Linked DNA regions of Coturnix japonica. The protein of the gene in region 2 binds, or shares a complex with, the protein of the main gene of each other region. Links are inferred from orthologs where the notes say so. Each region holds a gene or a part of one and is shown on either strand. Other genes may lie near its edges.

Region 1 (3,968 bases), on a different chromosome or scaffold from region 2:
GCCGGAGCGCCTCTTGTGTGAAGAAAAGTTGAGAGAGTTAGGCTTGTTGAGCCTGGAAAAGGCTCTGGATAGACCCCATCGAAGCCTTCCAGTGCTTATAGGGAGTGACTTTTTATATAGCCTAGTAGTGACAGGACAAGGGGGAATGGCTTTGAATTAACAGAGGGGAGATAAAGGTTACATGTTAGGAAACAATTCTTTACTCAGAAGGCGCACCAGAAGCCATACCAGTCTATTCCATTTAAAATCACAGCCCATTTTACACCATGCTGACAGTGTTTCTGGTGAACGCACATATCACAAAACAACTTGTAAATGCTACAAAGCAAACCCTCCTCTACCAGCACCAGCGTTCAGAGGATGCTTTAAAGCCTCAGGGTGGCCCCTTGGGACCCACGTTACTGCACGAGTAGCACCTGCCACTGTTAACCGATGGGAAAGGTGTAAGGTCAGAAGTGAAGAAGCACAAAAAGCTCCGGAGAAAACAGAAAAAACTCACGGCCTCATCGGGACACCCCGTACAGGCCATGACAAAAGCTCTGTGAAAAAAGTCACGTTCCTCGTTTATATGGTCCGAGTGGTAAAAACACCGTTTACAAAGGCAAGCTCCCGGCGGGCAGCGTTACCTGCACGTTGGGCCTGTTCCTCTTGGTCGCGCCCTCGAAGGCCAGGTATGACAGCGAGGCCTGCTCGCTACCACCGACGTCCAGCCGGAACACGTCCCCCACCTTGCCCGTCACGATGCCGATAACGTGGTCTCCCTTCACCGGCACGTACTACAAGCGGGTACAAGCGATCAGCGGGCTCGTCCCGCACATCACCGCCCCCCGCCGCCCGCTGCCGCCGTACCCGCTTCTGCTGCGAGTCCACCCAGTAGGCGCCGCCCGCCGCCGCTCCGCCGCCCGCCTGCCGGTGCCGCAGCAGCCCGCACTTGGTGACCAGCAGCCCGCCCGCACAGCGCCGCAGCCCCGGCCCGCACAGCAGCCTCCCCCGCGGGGCCGCGCTGGTGCCCAGCGGCAGCTTGTCGAGGTCGGGCTCTCCGTGCTCGGGCAGCAGCAGCACATCGCCGGGCAGCACCACTTGTCCCACACGGGTCTCCGCCGGCACGCCGCCCCCACCCGCCATCGCGTGCGGCCCTTCCGGCGGAAGCAGACGCAAAATGGCGGCGGCGATGGAAGGGCCGAGAGCGCAACGACAGCGACACCGCCCGGCCGCCTGACGCAGGATCCAGCCGGGAGCGCGGTTGCCCGGTAACGCGGTTGGACGCGCTGTGCGATCGGGCCGGTAGGAGCGAAGCGGTAGGGAACGGGGGACAGCACCGCTACCACCTTCTCATATTAATTGCCTGATGAAATGAGCTTTGATAAAACCACCAACATCACACTGGGGATGTGATGCAGTCAACACTTCCTCTAACTGCTGTCTGAATTCCGATATCGGTGACTAATATCTGTCGGTTTGTCAGTAGGTGAGAATGGAGTCTCAATACCTGAGGAGATGTCTGGGAAGCTGCTTGAAAAAGGGTCTGGCGGAGGTTGTGGAGCGTCGGCCCGCTGACCCAATAGAGTACCTGGCACACTGGATCTACAACTACAAGAAAACACTAGAAGAAGAAAAGAAGGTGGGTCTACCTCGGGCAAAGCATTTCATGTCAATCTAACTGATGCTGTATAATCTCTCTTTGTGTTTTGTTTCCTTTTTTTTTCATTGATTTCTTGTTACCTCTGAAATAGAGAACGTTGGAAAGGGCCAAACTGGAAAAAGAACGGCAGGCAGCCCTGGAAGAACTTGAAATGTTAAGAAAAATGAAGGAAGAAGAGCTACTGATACAACAGAAACTTGAAGAACAACGGCAGGTTAATAGTTGTTCATAATTATAGTAGCGTGTGATGCTGGGTCAACTTGTAGCTCTCACTACAATAGTAGTCATTATCAACATAGAATCATAAGAGAATCAGAATGTTGGAAAGTACCTACAATTGTATTCTGATCTTGAAAGGGAAAAGATAACAAAAAGTGCTTAAACATTGCGTTTTGAAAATATCATTATTTCGAAAGGAATTAGAAAGGACAGCTGAGCAGCTGGGGAGAAAAACTTACCTGCTACATGACAAGATGTTACCAAAAATGAAGAGACTAAGCTAAAGAGAAACTAACTAAAGATATGTTAGAAAATTAGATTAGGATAAGTAGACTGTCTTCTGCAGTTAACTATCTTAGCTATTTTTTCCTCCCATAGAATCTATATGGATTAGTCTGTCTATAATAGATGCTGTGCAAAGCTTCAAAGAGCCTAATCCAAAGTATAGGAGATATAAATATTAACTACTAAAGAGCACGAGGAACTGAGTATCAAAAGCATATACGCTATCTTCAGCTGTCTTCTCTTTACAATAGGAACAAGAACGTGAGAAGATGGAACAGCAGAATAAAGAAGAGAACATGCAGGAGCAGCAGAAAGATCCAGAGGTTTAAGCCAAAGCTTAGTCAAGATAAAGAAATATTGTTAATCATCTCTCTTATTCAGATCCAGTCCCTAAATACAGAACACAAGGCAGAAGCCTTGAACACAACAAAACAGAAAGCTAACATTAGGGAAGAACGTTTAATGCTTCTTTCCAGCTTAGGTTTTAGACTTGAATTCTCATCTGTTCTATTGGGTTTCTTTAGCTTTTATTCAGAACAGAGCATAAAGTTATTATAAAATGTAGCTTAAGTTCAGATTTTTTTTTAATTAATAAAATACTAGAACTTGAACGTGTCTAACATGAATGCTTAGATAGTTACATTTTACTGCCTGGCAACGTGAAGCCCATTTGCCACACCTGGAAAAGGAACCAACACTTGGAGGTGGGATGCCTCTTGATTTTTTGGTCTTCCATATAAATACATAGTCATATGATGCTGTTTTGGTAAAACAGATTGATCATTGACACTTAGACGTGAAACATTTCCTAACTTTACTTGGAGCAGAATAGAGATATTTTTAGAGCACTGTGTTGAGATATTGATAGCACATAGCTAGAAGAATGACTGTAAATGTAACAGAAGTATGCACGTTTATAAACTGAAGCAAAAAAGAACCCTGAAACCTTTGTAAAAACAGTCTTTACATGCACAAAGACCCCATTTGCACACTAACACATTTGTGTAGCAAGCATCTGAAGTATTGTCTTTACATTCATACTTAAACTACATTTTCAAAGCATGTTCAAAGTATCCACTGTAGACGATTGCTCATGACACGGAATACTTCTAATTGAAAATGAATTTCCACTACAGGAAGATGAGAAGACAATAGCTGAACTTACAGATAGAGCAGGAGCACCTAATTTGCCCACAGTTGAGGAAGTAGATGAGAGTGGAGTGTCTGAGGTAAGTGTTTGGAAAGAAAAAGGTTACATGGAATTAATGCTCAAACATTTTCTTGCTGACAAATGGAAGACTAAGACTGTTCTAGTTAACCCTATACCGGTTCTTTACTACAATCTGAAGGGATATTATTTGGGCCACAGTCTTCATGCTGTCCTTAGGCTGTACATTCTGAAAGGCTGCTTATGTGGTGCTGAGTGAATAAAGTGCCAAAGATTTAAAATGCCCCTTTATAGTCATGTGTGTTATGAATGGATGTATTAATATTCTCAGACAAGAAGCAGCCTTCCTTCGCCTTTTGAGCAGGTGTCAAACAGGACACAGACTCAATCACAAACACTGTCTTGCTTCTGAATGAAATGACTTACATTATTCTGATTGGTCTGAAGTACATTGTTCATGCAGCAGAACGCAGAGATATCTGAACAATTATTTAATGTAAAAGACCAGGTACCAAGCGCACAGTGCTCAGTGCAGCAAAGACCTGCTAAGAATCAGGTTATCCAAACCCTGTGCCAGCATGACAGTACTTATTCCAAAACTACAACTATCAATCTAAATTGTGATATGCAGCCATCTTCTACACCCCTATTTTT
Region 2 (3,944 bases):
TGCTCTGGGCTCAGCTGGAGCTTCCGTTTCTAAGAAAAGCGTAAAAGAGAAGAGAAAGAAAAAAGTTTACTAAATAGAGCTGGTTTGCTACCTCAGGTACCACACTGTTCTTTGGAGGCAGTCACATTTTCAAGTGCAAGCTGAAGAGGTACAGGGTAACTTCCCAGCTTAGTCTGATTCTCTCAGATTTGGTCCCCCTTGAGATACAAAGCAACAACAACAACAGAAACAACAAACAATGAAAAGAAAACAAAACAAAGAAGCAACCAACCAAGAGGTTTCTGTGTTATAATTAATACCCGCAGCATTAATTATACAATTGTTCTTTCTTTCATTCGGTGCTTTAGGATTTTCACTATAGCTATCCTGCCTGCAGGTAGCCAGAATTAGGCCAGGTGTAACAGGTTATCCAGCAGAGGGCACAGGGCAGCCTGGAGAGAAATTAACTTATTAAAAACTCCTTTCTTTGAGCCTGCTCTAATGTGATACAGAGTGCTGAGCATTCAGATTCCTATCAGCCTCAATGTCAAAAGTTAATGACTGTAAAGCTCTTCTCATTAAGAAAGAAAACAAAACACACACACGCACACACACAACTCTAATCTTCTGATGAATTTCCTATACTTAAAACAAACAGAAATGTAGAGGAAGAAATTAAAAAAGAACAAGTTCTTTTCAAACTCTTTTCAAACTTTTCAAGGCATTTACGAAAGATGACAGTTTTAGGGAAGCATATACATGTAATACTTGTATCTAGAAGCCTGGTTGCTGCTCAGCCAGTGCCCTCAAAGTTCGGTGCCGAAGGTGCTGCCTCCACACTACTAGGAGGGGGAGGAGGAGGAAGAGAAGAAAGCAAACACGATGAGGACGACAGCGGCACCCAGCGACCAACCCAACCCCACGGGGGGACATGGAAGAAGGCTTTTTGTTTTTGAGTTCATTTGTTAATGAACCCAGTTCATGAAGGAAGTATGGGGTTTCTTCTGTCAGCGAAGTCTGGTGGGTTCTCTTCCATGTCACACACCAACGAAATGTATCCTCGAGGAATCTGGGAGTTGTGGTTGATGACGTGAAAAATATAAACCGATTTTTGGGCAACAGAAGCTTTTAATTATTGAACTGACTGCTGAAAGTTAAGAAGACCATTGACGTGACCCACCAACTGCAGCTGTTATCTCAGGAACGCAGCTTTTTACCTGAACAATCAGGAATCCGGATCTGAGGATGAGATCCTCTATCTCTTCCTCCTTATCTACAACATCAGGTTTGATGAGAGCCAGTGTTTTTTCCACAAAAATCTGAGGTTCTGGCATGAGCCTCTCCATCTTTCTGCATTAGAACTTCTTAGCCCTACAACGACAGCAGTTGATGACAACGTTTATCTCCGAATAGTGTAAGTAACGTGGGATGGTTTCCTGAGACACGGTTCTCCCTGGGTTTTGGCCTCCGTGCCCGTGAGTCTCTGAAGACACGCAAACACACACGGAAAGCTCCCGGTCACCAACGGCTCCTCCGTGCCCGCCCCGTTGCCAGGTGCCGGCAGGGCAATGCGGGCAGCTGCCATTGGCCACAAGATGGCGGCCGTGCCCTGGCAGCGGGCGGCTGCGTGCGTGTGCGGGGGTGGAGCAGAAATGGCGGCCGGGAGCGGCGCTGCCTGAGCGGGGGGAGGCCGCACCCTCGGCAACCGCGCTTTCCGGATCTCATTTGCCTCTTTCCTGAGCTCTAGGTGTGATAAGAGCGTAAGGAAAGGAGTAAAATAGCTTGTTTTGGGGATCTGATGCGTTGTTAATCCTGTGACACAGCTTTCTGTCGGTTTTACTCCACGCTGAAAGCAATATCTCACAGCTGACGCTCATGAACAGAGGTTACGCTGTAGAACCGGTGTTTTGGAACAGAAACAAACTTTTCATTGCCAAAGCCCCCTGCAGGTTCTTTAAATCTCGCCGTGTGGCGGCAGCACGCACGGCACCTCCTGTTTATTTCCCGTCGGACCCGCAGCTCACAACAGAGCGGGCGCTGACCTCAATTCCCAACTCTAGAACACAGTTTCTCAGCACTTTGGATTGAAAGGCATTTTGTCCCCGGTGTTACCCGGTTTTAACACAGAAACAAGCAGCCCGCCGCCCCGCTGAGGCCTGCCAGCTGCTATCGGCTCAGCACAGCCCGGTGGCTGCGATAACGCCAGCACCAGCCCATGGACTCCTCACATTCAGGCCTCTTCCACTGCTGTGTGTTTGCCAGCAGTGATGGGATCCCGGGTGACATCTGTTTGTCACATCCAGCTGGAATTAATGTTCCATTTGAGCCCTTGGGGTGAGATGGACCAAGAGACAAGCACTCATGTCGGCTTCTTAAACAGAGAGAGCTCAACCAGCAGTCGGAGATACTGTAAATGCAGCAACTGCTCACAGATAAGGGAAAGACGTGTTTTGTGAGAAATAAATTCCTAGAAAGATCTGGGAGTTCATCTATTTTTCCTTTTAGTTCAGGGTTAATTCTCTTTGCAAACCAAACGCCTACAAGGCTGACAGGCTGACCCCAGGCTTAGCAGCTCAAAAGCCTCCCTCAGCCCCAGTGAATATTTCCGATTATTACTTAAAAAACGTTGAATTTAATATCCTCACAGAATACTGCTGACTTTAATCTCTCGCAGTTCCTTTAGCTGGGTGCATTTTGCTCTCAGTTAAAAAAGATAGGAAAAAAAAAATGCATCAATATCTGTCCGTGCATCCTTGTCTGCTGCAGCCTCCCCATGAGCAGTGTCCCGTGCACTCCCCATCCTTCTGTGTCACAATTTCTCCTCCTTGCTGTTTCCAGAAGCATTTCTGGAGGGTGGAGATCATCTAATTTTAGCAACTCAGAGAATCCTCTGCTCTCCAATGAGCGAGCTGCTGCATCTGAAGCTGCAGCCAATTACCCGGGGTTTCCTCCTGCTACACTTCCCACGACCGTTTAATAATGCAGAGTTGCACATTTAAAGGGACCCCGCGCATTAAGAGAAAATAACATCGTGTGTTCCCTAACAAAGAAGTAGCTTTACACGCTAAGAGTATCTCAAAGGTTTCTTCTAAATCCTTAAATTCCATAGACCCGACCTTTTAACCCCGTGTTGATACTGTTATTGTACGCATGGTATCTTTGTAGCGCTTTTAAAGCTACTTTAATGACTAAAAGGCTGGTTTGAAGCGTCCTCTCTAACTTCTGTAGCCCAGGGATGTTATTAAGAGCTAAGAAAAGAAACAAACAAAACCTGAAATTTTAATTACAATGCAACAAACCATTTTAAGTCCCGAATACTTCTCCGGGCACAGCTCTGCTGCTGTATCTGACCTGTTAAGCAGTTTAACAAGCCTTGGTTGTCTTATTTTGGGCTGGCATGGAATATAATAACACTATAATAACAAGATTGTGGCTGCAGATGCATTCTAGTAGCAAAGAAATGATGTTCTTAAGGAAAAGATACTGTTTTCAAACTTTGAACTCCAAAAAAATAGTAGTAATCATTGACTGGCTATTCATTTGCCACACAAACAACTTCTGTCCACCACTGACATCATTTTTATTTGCTTCTGTCTCCTACGATGAAGGCTGGGATACCCACACGCAGAACGTGCTGCAGCCGTGCTTGCTTTTGCAGTGCAAAGTGTCTTTGACGGAAATCCTGTGACCAAGCAAACTTCCGCTCCTGTGAGCCCGTTCCCTGCTCCATTTCTTACAGCTAACGACTCTGCTGCAGCTTGCCTACACGCCTGTAATCCGAGCTAACTTTATATTGCTTCTGACTAACACAATTCAAGCCTTCATTTCTGCTTTCATGTATTTGCTACCTCACTACTTTCTTTAAAGATCTTATTTCTACAAGGCTCTAAGTAATAACAAACTTCCTATCTACAGCATGCTCTGCTGACCTTCTTCTATTTTATTTCCTGATCCTCATGCCCACT
Region 3 (3,949 bases), on a different chromosome or scaffold from region 2:
AGCGTGCAGTGGTTTTGCATTACTCTTTGAGTGGGAGAAGCTGTGTGTGACTTCATTACAGTCTCTGTTGATCTTAAGTAGTGAAGGGGGAGGGATTGGAGTTGTCTACCAGCTTAGCTGCACTGGCTCTGTGGGTACTGAGCGTCTGCTGGTGTTAGTTCTACAGGCCTTTATCCACGAGCTGTCAGATGGCTTTGTAGCTATCTTTTGCCTACTTAACTGCAGCATGGCTTTGACTGTTTTTACACAGAATATTTTTATATTGATTAAAAATAGTTAAAACTTCACATGTTTTCTCTGACTACCCCTTCTCCACTGGGTAAAGCCTAAGTAATTTGTTTATGTTCTGAGGGCCCTCTGGTGCCTGTAACTATTTTGCCAGCTGCTTTCTCAGTAGGATGCAAACTCCAGCCCCGATTGCAGCACTTTGCATCATTTCTCAGTAGGGCGCATTCCTCCCTTGCTCTCCCTTCCCTATGCTTGAGCAAAGGTCCTCATAAAAGTGTTCACAGCAGCCCTGTTATTCTTCAGAGAATTCAGTGAAAAGCCCTTTCCTGCACAACACAGATGGCAGTGGTTTGTTGATCTTGCTGCCTAGCAGGCTGATCAACACGGCTTTTTCTTCTACTTCACTGTCTGTCCATTTGTTTGTACCTCTACTGTAAGTTTCCTGTGACCAAGCCCGTGTTCTTGTTAGGTTTGCCTTATGTTGGGGGTTGGACTCGATGATCTCTAAGGTCCCTTCCAACCCGCACGAGACTGTGAGACTGTGATACTGTGATGTATAGGTGCTGTATGGTCTGAGCAATGGCTGGGATTCCCAGAAGAAATGATGAAATAATAAAGACATAAAACAGCGAACTGAATTCTTATAGTAAAGTTTAAATAAAGAACAGAAACTGTCTTCAAAAACAGACAAGGAGATGAGCTTTTACAAGGTAAGTGAGAGCTCTTTTCCTCTGATACCTCATGCCTGACTGGTGGCCAGTGCCAAAGGGGCATGGTTTAGGTTAGATTTTAGAAGGGAGTTTTTCACACAGAGGATGGTGACGCACTGGAACAGGATGCCCAAGGGGGCTGTGGGTGCCCCATCCCTGCAGGCATTCAAGGCCAGGCTGGATGTGGCTTTCGGCCTCCTCACAAACGAGGCTAAACACGGGTTAAACACGGGCTCTGCACCCGCGGTTGAGCGAGGCGGGCCGCAAACCGCCGTCCCATCCGCCCGCCCCCTCAGCTGTCACGGTGCGCTCGTTGCCGGGGCAGCGGCGGCGCAAACAAAGGTGAGGCGGGGCTGAGCGGCTTCCTCGAGCTAGGGGTGGTGCGGCGGCTGCATTAATCTTGAGGAAGATCAAGACTTAGCAAAAGGCAGCTGCTGACAGCAGAAGTAGTCTGGGCTTAGAGCTGTGGTTGGGCTCCATCTGCAGGCTTTTGCTTGGTATCAAGATTAAGGTACTCTGGTAGGCTCAGTAAGAAAGGGGGCAGTTTGGGTGTAAACATTGTGCGGGCAGTTTTTTGTTGTCATCCTACATCTGTTTTATTGTTAATCCCTTCAGGTCCACGTAACTGAACTTGAGAAGACCATGCCTCTTCCAGACACCCTGTTCTGTGCTCAGCAGATCCAAATCCCCCCTGAGCTACCAGACATTATCAAACAGTTCACCAAAGCTGCTATTAGGACTCAGCCTCATGATGTTTTGCAGTGGTCAGCTGCGTAAGTATGGCATCCTCATAACCATGTAGCACTGTCAGCACAGAACCACAAAGACCCAATGCTTCTGTTGACTGTATAGAGCAGTGTTGCATTCTTCAGTGTATAACACAACCTGTTGGCCTTTTAATAGTAGTATAGTACTTGGTTTAGCCTTTTAGTTTAAAGATTTCATATCGAGTTTTTCAGTACAAAGAAGACAGGGATCTCTTGGAAGGAGTCCAGCGGAGGGCCGCTAAGATGGTGAAGGGCCTGGAGCATCTCCCCTATGAGGAGAGACTTAGGGAACTGGGTCTGTTTAGCCTTGAGAAAAGAAGGCTGAGAGGGGATTTGATCCAGGTTTATAAATACCTGAGGTGTGGGAGCCATAGTGGTGAGTCTGGTCTCTTTTCAGTAGTGCGTGGGGACAGGACTAGGGGTAATGGGATGAAACTACAGCATAGGAAGTTGCGCACAAATGTGCACAAGAACTTCTTTACGGTGAGGGTGATGGAGCACTGGAACAGGCTGCCCAGGGAGGTGGTGGAGTCTCCTTCTCTGGAGATATTCAAGACCCGCCTGGATGCCTACCTGTGTGACGTGGTGTAGGGAACCTGCTTTGGCAGGGGGGTTGGACTCAATGATCTCTGGAGGTCCCTTCCAACCCCTACAATGCTGTGATTCTGTGAATTCTCTTTCTACACTGTCCTTGAATTTTATTTTGGAGTGTGTAGACCTGTAGACAAAATGGTTATGTGAGCATTGCAGTATATTGCCAGTTGGGCTTCACAGGTAGCATGTGGGAGGAACGCTAAATAAATCAGCTAAATAAATTGGAAAGGTACTCATCAATCTAATGGGAAAAGACTGTGCTTCAGTTGTGCGAGCATACTCTTGGTGTTAATAAATTTATTTCTGCCTTAATCAAAATAAGTTAAACTACTCATAAATTATGACAGTATGATAAAAAGGAGTATGTGATGTCTAGAAACTGTCTTCCACTGAAAAGAAAGGCATAGTGTTTAATCATCCTAGGTACTGGAGTGCCTTGCTGTTCCCATTCACTCAGGTACTTTACAGCACTGTCCAAAGGCGAGCCCCTTCCAGTGAAGGAGAGACTTGAAACACCTTCAGCAAAACAGAAGATGGATGCTGGTTTGACCCCGGGACTCCTTAAAGTCTTGCACAAACAGGTACAACCAGACATTTATCAAATGTGTGTGTTTGTCTTAGACAGAAAACATGCCAGATGATTAGTAGATGACTGTCAAAAATTTGATGCGTTTTGGGAAGGGTTGTTTTTCTTAGTTTCATTCTTTTTCAGAGTTCTTATTGCGGCACTGTAATTGTATTTACAGCTTTCCGCTAAAGGCACTGTAAGTGTTGCAGAGCTGAAGGAAAAATGGAAAGACTTGTGCCTGCCAGAGGAGCAGCTGGAAGCTATCCTGGAGTTGGACACCTTTGATGAAGAGGTGGAGTGGATGAAGATTCTGGCACTCGGGTGCAGCGTGCTTGGTGAGGTATGTCCACAGAATCATAGAACTGTTGTGAGTTGGAAGGAACCTTTGAAGTTCATTTACTCCAACTTCCTTGTAATGAACAGGAGCACCTACAGCTAGATTAGGTGCTCCTAGCCTCCTCCGGCCTAACATTCACAGCAGGAACCTTCCTGGCTGGCCACTAATGATAATGTATGATGATTACAGGTTGTTTTGGAAGGAGAGCTTAAGCAGTAAGGGCTTATCCTCATGCTTACTGGGATGTGGCAGTAGGACAGTAGGCATGTCCACTGGCAGCTCAACCAAGGCAATAGAGGAACAATGCTTATGGCATCAGTGTAATAGACAAAAGAGAAGAGCTGGAGGGAGAAATTAAAACATCAGTTTCTAATTGTGCAGCCAATTACATTTTCACAGAAGCAGTTAATGTTACTAAATCTACATTTAATTCTTCTAATGTCAGTAATAAAGTCTCAGCAGAGCGCTGCAAATGAATTGTTATGAAATGCTCGCACTAAGCTGATGTTCTTGTGAAGTATGAAATTAGAAGACTGCAGAAGGGGTACTAAGAAGAAAACAAATGCCCAGTAGTGTTTTGAGAATGTTGTGTTATTGAAAAGCAGTGGAGTCTCCTTCTCTGGAGATATTCAAGACCCAACTGGACACCTGCCTGTGCGATGTGGTGTAGGGAGCCTGCTTTGGCAGAGGGGTTGGACTCGATGGTCTCTAGAGGTCCCTTCCAACCCCTACAATTCTGTGATTC

Evidence for each region. The genes of interacting proteins can lie anywhere in the genome.
Region 1: NME5 (region 2) and DYDC1 share a complex: the UniProt entries of both Homo sapiens proteins name them as parts of the axonemal radial spoke complex. The link is inferred for Coturnix japonica from reciprocal best matches to the Homo sapiens genes NME5 and DYDC1.
Region 3: NME5 (region 2) and ROPN1L share a complex: the UniProt entries of both Homo sapiens proteins name them as parts of the axonemal radial spoke complex. The link is inferred for Coturnix japonica from reciprocal best matches to the Homo sapiens genes NME5 and ROPN1L.

The regions. Positions count from the first base shown.
Region 1 is NC_029521.1:3,511,334-3,515,301, forward strand, and holds the start of DYDC1 (DPY30 domain-containing protein 1), read left to right. Parts: upstream 1-1,168; 5' UTR 1,169-1,250; exon of another isoform or gene 1,251-1,298; intron 1,299-1,465; exon of another isoform or gene 1,466-1,468; 5' UTR 1,469-1,474; coding exon 1,475-1,621; intron 1,622-1,733; coding exon 1,734-1,856; intron 1,857-2,397; coding exon 2,398-2,469; intron 2,470-3,282; coding exon 3,283-3,573; 3' UTR 3,574-3,968. Other genes in the region: EXOSC3 (exosome complex component RRP40), read right to left, coding at 627-776, 850-1,125. UniProt on the Homo sapiens protein: Functions as part of axonemal radial spoke complexes that play an important part in the motility of sperm and cilia. Plays a crucial role during acrosome biogenesis.
Region 2 is NC_029528.1:3,795,528-3,799,471, forward strand, and holds the start of NME5 (nucleoside diphosphate kinase homolog 5), read right to left. Parts: upstream 2,801-3,944; 5' UTR 1,326-2,800; coding exon 1,197-1,325; intron 30-1,196; coding exon 1-29. UniProt on the Homo sapiens protein: Functions as part of axonemal radial spoke complexes that play an important part in the motility of sperm and cilia. Does not seem to have nucleoside diphosphate kinase (NDPK) activity.
Region 3 is NC_029517.1:52,308,345-52,312,293, forward strand, and holds the start of ROPN1L (ropporin-1-like protein), read left to right. Parts: upstream 1-1,149; 5' UTR 1,150-1,280; intron 1,281-1,286; exon of another isoform or gene 1,287-1,466; intron 1,467-1,553; 5' UTR 1,554-1,580; coding exon 1,581-1,711; intron 1,712-2,756; coding exon 2,757-2,880; intron 2,881-3,045; coding exon 3,046-3,207; intron 3,208-3,949. UniProt on the Homo sapiens protein: Functions as part of axonemal radial spoke complexes that play an important part in the motility of sperm and cilia. Important for male fertility.